Canis lupus familiaris: one gene and its partners. The protein of the gene in region 2 interacts with the protein of the main gene of each other region in a pairwise test. Links are inferred from orthologs where the notes say so. Each region holds a gene or a part of one and is shown on either strand. Other genes may lie near its edges.

Region 1 (3,746 bases), on a different chromosome or scaffold from region 2:
TTCTAGTCTCCAAGAAATGCTAGGAAACCCTGAGTGGGACATAGTTGAGGCCTGGACACCATCTTTACTCCCCTGCCTGATCCTTGGGCTTGCAGCTCAATGATATGAAAATCTCCCTACAATAATCCCGAACTCCTGCCCTACCCTTTGCATCCCAACCAAGCAAATTATTTAAAAATTAAAAGTGAAATTTATACACATCTCCTTCTTTCTAAGCAGGGTGGCTTAACATTATTATAAACATCTTTTTCCTCACAAAGCTTACTTTCTCGTGTGTGCAGAAGGAAGCAATAGATAAATACGAAAGTAACAGTGAAAATATATAGCATGCCAGCTAGCAGTGTCTGAGGCTAGTGGCAGCAACTGTATTTAGAAGGGTTTCACTGCAAAGGTAACATCTGAGCAACAATCTGAAGGAAGCAAGAGAGTGAGCCGTTGGAAGATAGGGTTTTGGGTAAGACTGTCCCAGGCTGAAGGAACATCAAACGCAAAGGTCCGGGGCCCGAAGCTGTCTGATGTTCTTTGAGGGACAGTGTAGCTGGGGAGGAAATGAGGTCCATGAGGCCAAATGTGAACAGGTCAAGCAGGTCCTGGTGGACCATTCTAGGGACTCTCTAAGAAATGTGGGGGACGATTGGAGGGTTTTGAGCAGAGAAGTGGCATACCTAAACCTAAACGTTGTTAAAGGACCCTTCTTGAAGCTAGCTTTGGTGGGGGCACCGTCCAAAGAGACAAGAAAGGTAAGTCTGGTGGTAACAGGTGCCTCAAAGCTTGCAAAGACGACTACTGAAAGGGGGAAAGGGTTGACTCCTGGACAAAATGCCTGTGTGGTGGTTGGGAGGATGGGGTTACCCTGGGTTACGCATCTGCCTAGCTTTCAGGCCTAGACGCAGAGACCTCTGGTCCCGCTACTTCAGCCGCAGGTCCCTAGCTCCAGGGGCGGTCAGGACCCGCAGCTTTGTTGCCGTGGCGACCACAGGATTCGACCCCCACCCCGCCGCCCCCGCGCCACACCACTCCCGGGTCTCCTGGGGCAAAACACCCGGTCCTGCATCTGCTCCAGCGAGGACTCATCAGTATTCCACCCGCGGAGTTCTCCCCGCCCCCGCCGCGAATCCCAGAGCCCGCCAATCCCGCAGCTCCAGCCTTGGCTGTTCTGAGCCTCCCCACCGCCCCCACTTGGTCTCCGAGGACCGCAGCCGGATCTGCCCCGGAGCTCTCCTGGCAGCCCCCCCCGCGCGGCGCGCCTCTGCCCAGTTACGCAGCGCTTTCGGGCTCGTTGGCGGCGGCCGCAGGCTGCGCCTCCGCGGCAGAGAGGGCACCCGGGAGACCCGTTCTAAGGCGTCCCCGCAACAACTCTCCGGGGATATTCAACTCCCCTGCGCTCGGTTTCAGGTCCTCCTGCGCTTCTGCAGTGCACCAGACGGGGGAAGCAGATACAGGAGAACCTGCATTGCGCCCCCGCTGGGATGCACGGTGCGCAGAAAGGGGACCTTCTGCTGCAAAGCCGGAGGATCGGGGGCGCGGGGAGTCAGGGGTGGGTTTTCGTAGGACTCACCTTGTGCAGTTTCCACATGGCCCCCAGAGCTTTGACTTCGTGGCTGGAATGTTTGCCCTCCTCCAAGCACTGGTAACACACGGGCATCTTGCACTGCACGCAGTACATGCTGTGATTCTCCAGCTCGTGGTCTGTGCAGGTGGAGACCTTGCGCGGGCTCAGCCGCCGGCTCACGCGGCCCTGGGCCGGGGGCACCAGACGGTGTTTGGCTAGGGGCCCTCGGGGAGGGTGGCAGCGCAGGCGGCACGGATCACAGTAGAAGACATCGCACTGTTCGCACATGACAGTGGCCTCCTTGGGCGCCTTCTCGCAGAGCTGGCACTTGAGGGCTGCGGCTTTGCTCTGCTGGTAGCGGTCAATTACCCCTTCCAGGACGCGGTTCTTGGGGAAGCCGCGGAGCCCCCGGTCATCCAGTATGAGGCTGCGGTGGCACTGGGGGCAGGTGATACAGGAGTTGCGGGGCACCGGGGCCAAGGCCGGTGACAGGTGGGTGGCCGGTGGCGGCATAGCCGGGGGGAACACGCGGACGCCATTGGGGGACTTCTGGCACGGAGTAGTGGGGGCACTGGCGAAACCCCCGTAGGAGCCATAGCCGCTGTCCGCCTCGCTGTACAGGCTCATCTTGTCCAGGTCCAGATAGTCATAGTCGGAGACCCCGGAGCCCGAGGCCCTGCGGCTCTGGGGGGATTCAGACTCCGGGGTCTGCACCAGGATGTTGCGGGCGCACGCTTGACATAAATTGTGAGAGCAGGGCAAGATGATGGGCTCCCGATAGAAGGAGCCGCACACGGGGCATTTTAACTCTTCTTCCATCTCTTCCATGAGGACCGGGCTGGGAGCGAAGCAGCGGCGGCTGCAACGGTGCCTGAGCGGGCGAGGCGGCCGACCGGCCTGTCGTCTCCAGCACCTTGGCCAGCGGCGGCGGCGGCGGCGGCGGCGGCGGCGGCGGCGGCGGCGGCTGCGCCTTCCCGCGTCGATCAGGCGCCGATCCCCGCCAGGCGCTCTCCCCGCGAGCCGCTCTCTCTCTCTCAGCCGCGGACCCGCGACGCGGCGCGCCAGCCGCGGACCGCCCCCCTCTGGTCCCGCCCTGCCCCGTAAGCCGCGGCCCATTGGCTGGCGGCGAGAGGGCGAGGCTCTGATTGGCCGCGCGCCCCGTCCCTCTCCTCTCTTCCGCAGGCCACGGGGGCTTTGGTAGCCGACGCTAAGGAGGAGCGTCTCCGCTCCCGGCTGCAGGATCTCGGGAGGGGGCGGCGTGCGGAGGCGAGGGACCGGGAAGGAGGAATTAGGCGGGATGACTCATCCCTCGCCCCGCTTCCTTCCGACCTCCGGCGCCGTCTCCCAAGAGCAGGGGGCGTGAGAAAGCCCTCCCCGCAGCGAGCAGGCCCACGGAGGGGGCCGGGGCTGCTCGCCAACCGTCTGCGTTTGGCTTCCAGCCCTGGTCCCCGCGCCGACCTGTACCGCGGGCGAGGGCCGCGCGCCCGCCAGACCCCTCCTTCCCTTCCGCTGCCCGCAGCCTGCCTGGGCCCGAGCCTCCCCCGGGCCCGGGGTTTTGTACCGCCCGGCCCCGGCGCTCCCCATCCCGGGAGCCTGCAGCCCCGGGCGGAAAAGCCCCCAGGAAGGGCCTCTTTGCTCCTTTCACCCTCACTGCCTGAGGTCTAAGAGGGGAATTAAGAATACCGATTTCTTAGTGTTGCCATGAGATTGCAGCTAGGTGACCGATGTAAATAAAGGCTCAGTATGGTAGCTAAAAAAAAAATCTCTAACTCTTCATTTCCCGCTTAAAAATCAGGCTCGGCCCAGAGGCTTCTCCGGGCGTGGTGTGAACCTAACGGTGTGAACGTGCCTGTCTCCCCTCTTCACCCTCCCTGCCTCCCAAAGCGGTGCTGTCACGGGGCTCTCGCACCTGGCCGAGCTTTCGCAAGGTTTGAGGCAGGTCAGGCAGGGTTGCCTATTGCTCAGCGCCTACAGTTCAGTAACTAGCTGCAGACGAATCACTGTGTCACTGCGGAGTCTCAGTGTTTGAATCCAAACAGCATTATACAGTGTCACGTGGCCTGAGCATTTATCACAGCTTCAGAATGGTGGGTTCTTTCTGTTTCCTCCTTTGAAGTGCACGGGGGTCCTCGTGGAGGGGTGCAAGTAGGGGGATGGGGGCTAGATCTAGGGGTAGTCCTCATATATTAAGCAC
Region 2 (3,746 bases):
CAGGGTACCTGACCCGGGCCAGGTGGCGCTCTGCGGGAGGGGAGTGGCCACCAGTGGAGTCACATGGGGCGGGGCCTGCGGGACCCGCTGCGGAAGCTTGGGAGGGTGTTTGGGCCTCAGACCCAAGCTACTGCGTGGGGGAGGGGGTTCCTAGGAGCCAGCACCAGGTGGGTGGGTGCCCCTGCCTCCGCGCCCTCCTATTGCTGGATGATCCCGCCATCCTCTGCGGGCGAAACTGAGTCACGGCGGGGGTGCGTGGGGAGAGGTTCCAGGGGTTTTAACCACACAGGAACCTGGAGTCCCATCCGCACCCAGGGGCAGCGCCGCACCCTCACCCCTGCCCCCGCCCCCACCCCCACCCCCACCCCCAGGCAGTGAGTCAGCGGCCGGCCGCGCCCCCTCGGCCCACTTCCTCCTCACCTTCCTGGGGCGGGCGGGGGGCGGCGAGAGGGATGGGGCCCTCCCCGCCCACCCCCCCCTGTGCTGGGGAAAGGGGTTCATCCCTTAGTCACCTTTCATATATTAGCAGAGAAGAGAGACGCTGGGGGTAGCATTTAAGGTATCATTTAAGGGGGAAAATTTGAGAGAATCTATGCTTAACCAGAGGATCGTCTTCGCGCCCACCCCCCAAATTGAGCAGAACGTGAAGAAATGGAGAAGTCGTTGGGGAGGGTGAGCAGGAATTGTCCCCATTAAGATCCTCCTAAGAATTTCCATCGTAGGAGCGAATGAGCGATCAGGAAGGATCCCTTGCCCTCCACCAGACCTACCCCCTAATTTGGGGGTGACCCTCAGCGTGCATCCCCATTTCTCTAACGTTGGGGAAGAGGTAAATAGCGGAAGTGTAGGGTTCCGCGTTGCCCTTTTAAGCGCCCTTCACCCCCCCCACCGCCTAGAGGTGTCCGCGGCCCCTTTAAGGCGCAGGGCATTGTGGGTGCGGGGAGTGGAATTTTGGAACGAAATGTAGCGAAGAGAAGTACAGTAGTAAGAGTAACATTGTACCCGCCGCCGGCCGAGGGGGCGCGCCGGGGACGGGACGCCGCACCCCCTTTCTGCCGCAGGGACCCCCGATCAAACCTCCAGAGGGAGGAGGCGCCTGAGGACCCGCCCCGGCCCCGTCCACGTTCCCCCCCAGGAAGCCGGACTCTATGGGGCGGGACCCTGGGGGAGACTGAGCAGAACCTGGAGCCAGCCCCGAACCCCTGAACCTTGAGCCAGGGGCGCCCCGGGAGCACCCACCCGTGGGTGCGCCGCCCTCCCGCTGAGCAGCCATGAGGTGAGCCTCGAACTGCCTCCAAACCCTTCCGCGCTCCGCGCGGGCTCCCCGCCCCGCCTTTGTCCCCCTCCCCCAGCTGGAATTTGGGGACAGGGCACTGGGGGCCTCGGATTTGAGGCCGAGCCCCCTTGGACGAGTTCCAAATACTGACCGCTTCGCCATGACTCCTAAGGCTCGGGTGGTGCCTCAGAGGTTCTCTCGGAAGCCCTCAGATTTGGGGGCGCCCCGAGGACTCCCGAATTTCTTAAAGACTTTTTCAGAGAACCTCCAAGTTGCCAGATCCTGCCAGCATGGAGGCCAGAATTAAGGCAGGGCTCAGACTACCCCCCCAAAAATCTCAACTCGGGCTCCGGGAGGGATTGAGGGGACCGGGTTGGGGGTTCCTGGGACCTGGAAGAGAGATTCGGGACGTAGACCTTGGTTTGCCGGGTCTGCTTTTACGTGGCGCTGGAAAAAGCCTTCCCAAGTGGGACCTCGCTTCTTAACTTCGGGGGCACTTAACCCCTTAAATTTCGGGGGGCTCTCGTCCTCCGGTGGAGGTGAGTGCAGACGAACCCACGGACCCGGACAGCCTCGAGGGTCTGGTTGGGACTCCCCTCCCCCGCCGCTCCCCACCCACCTTCTGTTTAAAACAAGCGGTGCCTAGGACGGAGCTCCAGGGCTCGGCGCGGAGGGCGGCTCCCCGGCCCGGGGCCAGGAGGGCGGCCCCGCGCCCCCACCTGTGCGTCCTGGGGAGGGAGGGGGCGCGGCAGCTGCGGGAAGAGGGGCCTTTGTCTTCCTGACTCACCTGTCGAGACAGCTGGTGTTGGGGGGGCGGGCAAGGAGTGCAGTGGGCCGGCTGCTTTCCCCACCACGCGCCGCCCCTTGCTCTCACCACCGCCCCCCTACCCGGCCCTCCAGAGCCGTGGGGTGGGGGGGGGGGCGCTGTAAAAAGCTTCAAGGTCATAGCCCTCTCCCCCTGGGACCCAGGCTCCCAAGACAGTCCCAGACACCTTCCCAGGAATTTAATCCTGGGGTTGGGGGGCCCAGAGGACCCAGGGATTTTTGTCTTACCGGGTCGGACCTCAGAACTCCTGGGCTCACCTGAGGGCGGGGCCGGGGCGGGCTGGGAGACCGGAGTAGACCCTCCCCCACTCTCCCCTCCCCCTGGCCCCCCATAATCTCTCCCTTGGGGCCCGAGCCTGACAATACTATCTCCCTTCCTCCACTCTCTCAGGGACTTCCTGCCCCCAAAGCCCCCAGCTTGAGGGGGAGGCCCCCCGAGGAGGACTGGGGATTAACCCCCTGGTGCCCACATCCTCCCACTACCCCCACACGCCCCTGCCCTCTGACATCAAGAGTCGCATTGCCCTTTAGGACCATTAGAGACCCCCTCCGCCTGTGTTCCTTCTGATGTGAAAGTGTTGGAGCATTTTGGAGTGAGGGGGCACCCACGGACACCCACCCTCGAGGTCTCCCGCCTACCTACCCCCCATTATAGCCACATCCCTCCGAGGCCTGCCCCGGAGAGGGGGCATTTTGGGGGGAGCCAGGCTCTCTTCCCTCACCCTCTTCCCAGGGGACCCTCCTCTCCCACGGCTGCCCCCCCGCCCCGCCCCCCGCCCCCCCTCGCGTTTCCGGTCCCAGGCACCGTGGAAGGCGGATGGCGGATGTCCGAGTTAGTGCTGCCTCACTCACTGTGAGACCGTAAAAGGGCAGGAGCAGTGTCTGGGCCGGCCTCCCGCCCCCCCTCCCCCAGGCCCGGAGGCCTTCGCCCTCCCACAGGGTCCCCCTACTGTTGGCCGCGGCCAAAGCTCCCACCTCCTGGGGGGTGGGGGGGCGGTGGGCAGGGGTTGAACTGCTGGGCCTCCCACCGGAGGGTCACTCGCACCTCCCCAGGGGGTCTTCCCTGCTGATGGCCACGCCCAACTCGCTGCGCCCCCTCTTCCAGGACCTCTAGGATTCCAAAAGACCCCTGCCCCTGCATGAGGGCAGCCAGGGAAACTGAGGCTCGCCCTAGATCCCTCAGGCAGTGTTGAGGGAGGGGAGGGGACTGGGATCCTGCGACTTGACTTCTGTCTGCTTTGGCTGGGCGAAGAGAGGATGTTAAAATGGAAAGTTACAAGATATAGTTCTTTTTCTCCCAGTTTGACAAATATTTGTTAAGTGTCTGCTGTGTGCGAGACTCAGCTGGGATTCTGGGAAGGCTCAGAGAGGGGGCAGAGGTCTGAGAATCTCAGGGCAGAGGGCTGCAAGCGGTATTTAGGTCCATTTCTTTCCTCTTCCAGGAATGGTAATTATTATTACCTTACAAAGTTGTTGTTTTTTAAATAATAATAAGAGACCATCTGATCAAACATGTGCTCTGTGCCAGGCACTGTATTATTCTGACTGCCCCACCTCCATGGGTCAACTGAGACACAGAAAAATTAAGCAAATAACCTATTCAAGTCAGTTTGGAAGTAGGCAGCTCTAGATTTGAATTTAGGGC
Region 3 (3,646 bases), on a different chromosome or scaffold from region 2:
TCAGTCAGTTCAGGATCTGCCTTCAGCTCGAGTCATGATCCAGAGTCCTGACTCCGGCATCCAGTCCCATGTCAGGGCTCCCTGTTCAGCAAGAGAGTCTGCTTCTGCCTCTGCCTCTCATCCCACTCGTGCTCTCACTCTCTCATAAAGAAATAAAAACAAAAAAAATATTAAAGTGCTATTACAGACACTATCCCATAAAACACCATCCAAAATCCATTTTAGCTAAAAGTATCCTTTAACACATTTAAACATCTGGTTATAGCTGCAGAGCTAAATATGTAATCTATGAAATATTTGGCAAGCTAAGGTGATGTGTGTCCAAACATACACATTTTTGTTAATAGATAAAGAATTTGTTTACTAACCAGCATCACTATTAACTTTGCAAATACATTTTGTAGCAACTGAATCTTCTTCCCCCTCCCCATCAAAACGGATTTTAGGTTGCTATTTTAAAACACTGAAACACCAGTTAACCTTAAGTAACATTTAACTAAACATGAAATTCTTTAAAAGTCCATTATCTAGGGACGCCTGGGTGGCTCAGTGGTTGAGCACCTGCCTTCAGCTCAGGGCGTGATCCCAGTGTCCTGGGATCAAGTCCTGCATCAGGCTCCCCAAAGGGAGCCTATTTCTCCCTCTGCCTATGTATTTGCCTCTCTCTGTGTGTCTCTCATGAATAAATAAAATCTTTTTAAAAAGTCCATTGTCCATATGTTTTCAGTGCTGCTATAATAGAGACTTCTAAACTGTTTTATCAGATATTTCCTATAAAATATACCTTATAATTATTTCCATATTATTTCCATAGACTTTTCTCTGTTAAAGTCTTAATCTGTAACAATATTTCTAACAACAACGTCTCAAAACTGTAAGAAGATGGCTCCATATTAAATTCACAGAACTCCAATAAATGAAATTCAAGCATTAAAAAAATGTGTATTTGTGTTACTCTACTGGAAAAAAGCATGTGAACTTTACCCTGATTTCCTCAGGAAATTCTATTCTTGGTCACATGCCATTTTCTAGTTAGTCTGTTATTCTTCAGATTTTATACACACACACAGCACAAACAAAAGTCATAAAGCCAGAGTTCCAGATAAAAGAGCCAGATGACTGGATGTGCCTGCCAAAGAACAAGCCATACTCACCTGTAGGGGGAGTGGAAGAAACAACAGGGGGAGTTGGAGAAGTGAAGCCATCAGCAAGGGTCTGGGCCCCCCCAGCAGCAGCGTCTGGGGCAGTGGAGGAAGGGACAGTAGCAGGAACAAGAGGGGCAGGGGCAGATGCAGAAGTAGCAGGAAGGGGAGGAGTACCAGCAGAGCCAGCGGGGGCTGAGGGGAAAGAGGAGTAAGAGGCGGCATTAATGAGGCAGACCCATTAGGCAGGATTAGAAAAAGCATTAGAGAACCTAATGTTAAATATTCAGCGCTTAACACTAACCAAAGAAAAGAAGAGAATAGGGAAAAAAATGAAGCTTATATTAAAGGATAATTAGGTTTGCAGCAAATAATTCAAAATGCTCAGGGCAATGTACAGATTTTTTAATTCATTAAAAACAGCATTCCGTTTTACCTGAAAGCCACTACTCTAAGAAAAGTAACTTTTCTACTGTATTGTACCTTTTATATTATAATTTTTAGCATAGTATTTTGTAAACAGTATACAAAACTAAACATAATACATTAGGAAACAGTATTCCATTTTGAAACACAAAAATCAGAAAATAAACATATTCTAGACAAAAACATTAGGTAAAAAAAAATCAGAAAAATCTTTTTCATGATTTTAAAAATATTATTATAAAAAAATTATTATCTATTTGGTATAAGTAAATTAAATACAAAAAAGTCTATCCCTAGGTCTTTTGTGTCACACTTTTAAAACTAAAGTTCAACTTTGATGAATAAATAAATTAAATAAGCACATTTTTCTGTTTCAGAAAAAAAAAGGTAGCATTTCAGAGTATTAAGTTCCAAGAGTCCACTAAATTTAACTGCCAAAACTACTTTTAAATTTGTCCAGTCCTTTTTTTACCTATGTGATTCTCACACTGTGTCCAAATGCACGCAATGTCATAACGCTGGAGTTAAACATATAACTCATACCCAGGAGGTACCTGAAACCTCAAAGCACCAACTGAGCCACTGCACCAAAGACAAAGCCAAATAACAGAGGTATGTGAGCATAAATTCAGAAATCACTTGGTTAAAAATAACAAATGCATAAAGATTTCCCAACATTTATGGAGTCCTAAAGGAAAAAAAATCTTCATTATGAAGAAAGCCCATCATTATTAAATTGGAAATTGAATTCAAATTCAAAAAAGACAAGTAAAGATGAGGCACCATTCATGTTTTACCTGGAAAGACACTGGGAGGAGAGGGAGTAGGAACAGCAATGGGAACACCCACACTCCCACTTCCACTGTTCTCCCGACTGCTGCTCCGACTACTTGGGTGACTTCCTCCACTACTCCCACTGCTGCTAAAGAAATAAGAGCCACCAAAACATGAGTATTTATATAAGATACCACCAGCACTTCCCAAAATTTTCTGAAATGAATATAGCTAAACAAAGATTATTCAAAAGCCCTCCATTTCATGTATTAATTTCTGAGTAAAACAGGAAAAAAACATGAGTTCAAGAAATTCATTCTGACTACCTTTTAATAAGCATCTATTAAAGAAAGTGAAATTGAGAAAGAAGGAAAAATTCTGTAGAAATATAAGTGGTAAGTGACAGGACTCAACACACAAAAATAGTATTACTTTTACTGCCTGAAGAAACTTGTTTTATAATAAAAAACACAGTTTTCCTAAACAGGTTATTTGATTAATTTTATTTATGATATCTTGGTGTACCATTTCATATTAATGTTTTACCATGTATAGTTTTTCATCTGTAAAGTTCCACCAAAAAACAACTTGCAATTTCCCACATCTAATCCATAACTTTTTTCCCCACATCTGGTCCATAACTTTCTTTCAGGTCAACTACAACTATTAATTTTTTAGAGAAGTTTGTATTTTTAAGATGTCTGTTTTTTCTGGGTTTATTATTTTTTTTCCAACTTCCTGACCTCAAAGCTGCATCAGAACATGAGGAGAGAGAGGCAGAATCAGATGAGGTTTGGGAGAGTAGAGTGAGGAAAAGAACTTAGTGCTTGGAAAATGAGAGAGATTTAACTGAAGTAATCTGAACAAATTATGGTACTATGACCATCACATTTTGCACTGAGGTAGAGAAAATACCTGTAAGTTCGATTTCTTTGATTCACAGAAGCTGTCCTCACAGGGCTCTGCTGCGAGGGAGCCATATTACGGGTTGGGCTAGGTACGTAATCATTTGGTACCACTGGAGGACGCACTGGCTCCAGTGTGCGATAGGGGGAGTGCCGCCTACAAAAAGAAGAGCGTATGTATTGTGTGATTAGCAAATTTCGGCACAATAAATTCAAAGAGTTGCCAGTAGTGAAATACAATTTGTATTCAGAGATAGGAAAATGTTTTAACATAACCCAGCTACCAATTTCAGTTTTTCCTTAAGTATCGCTTCTCTGCTGTTAGGGTTTTGATGAGTATTGCTGTTCTTTCATCCCCAACCTCATTTCCCTGTACTAAGGCAATTTTGTTCACTCACT

What was found.
Region 1: the proteins of VASP (region 2) and TRIM9 interact in binary tests that used the Homo sapiens proteins (3 or more experiments, as listed by UniProt). The two-hybrid records come from large-scale screens. The link is inferred for Canis lupus familiaris from reciprocal best matches to the Homo sapiens genes VASP and TRIM9.
Region 3: the proteins of VASP (region 2) and ABI2 interact in binary tests that used the Homo sapiens proteins (3 or more experiments, as listed by UniProt). The link is inferred for Canis lupus familiaris from reciprocal best matches to the Homo sapiens genes VASP and ABI2.

What each region holds. Positions count from the first base shown.
Region 1 is NC_049229.1:27,693,821-27,697,566, forward strand, and holds the start of TRIM9 (E3 ubiquitin-protein ligase TRIM9), read right to left. Parts: upstream 2,567-3,746; 5' UTR 2,381-2,566; coding exon 1,559-2,380; intron 1-1,558. UniProt on the Homo sapiens protein: E3 ubiquitin-protein ligase which ubiquitinates itself in cooperation with an E2 enzyme UBE2D2/UBC4 and serves as a targeting signal for proteasomal degradation.
Region 2 is NC_049222.1:110,772,227-110,775,972, reverse strand, and holds the start of VASP (vasodilator-stimulated phosphoprotein), read left to right. Parts: upstream 1-1,226; 5' UTR 1,227-1,271; coding exon 1,272-1,276; intron 1,277-3,746. UniProt on the Homo sapiens protein: Ena/VASP proteins are actin-associated proteins involved in a range of processes dependent on cytoskeleton remodeling and cell polarity such as axon guidance, lamellipodial and filopodial dynamics, platelet activation and cell migration.
Region 3 is NC_049258.1:12,103,320-12,106,965, reverse strand, and holds part of ABI2 (abl interactor 2), read right to left. Parts: intron 3,405-3,646; coding exon 3,258-3,404; intron 2,491-3,257; coding exon 2,366-2,490; intron 1,338-2,365; coding exon 1,155-1,337; intron 1-1,154. UniProt on the Homo sapiens protein: Regulator of actin cytoskeleton dynamics underlying cell motility and adhesion. Functions as a component of the WAVE complex, which activates actin nucleating machinery Arp2/3 to drive lamellipodia formation.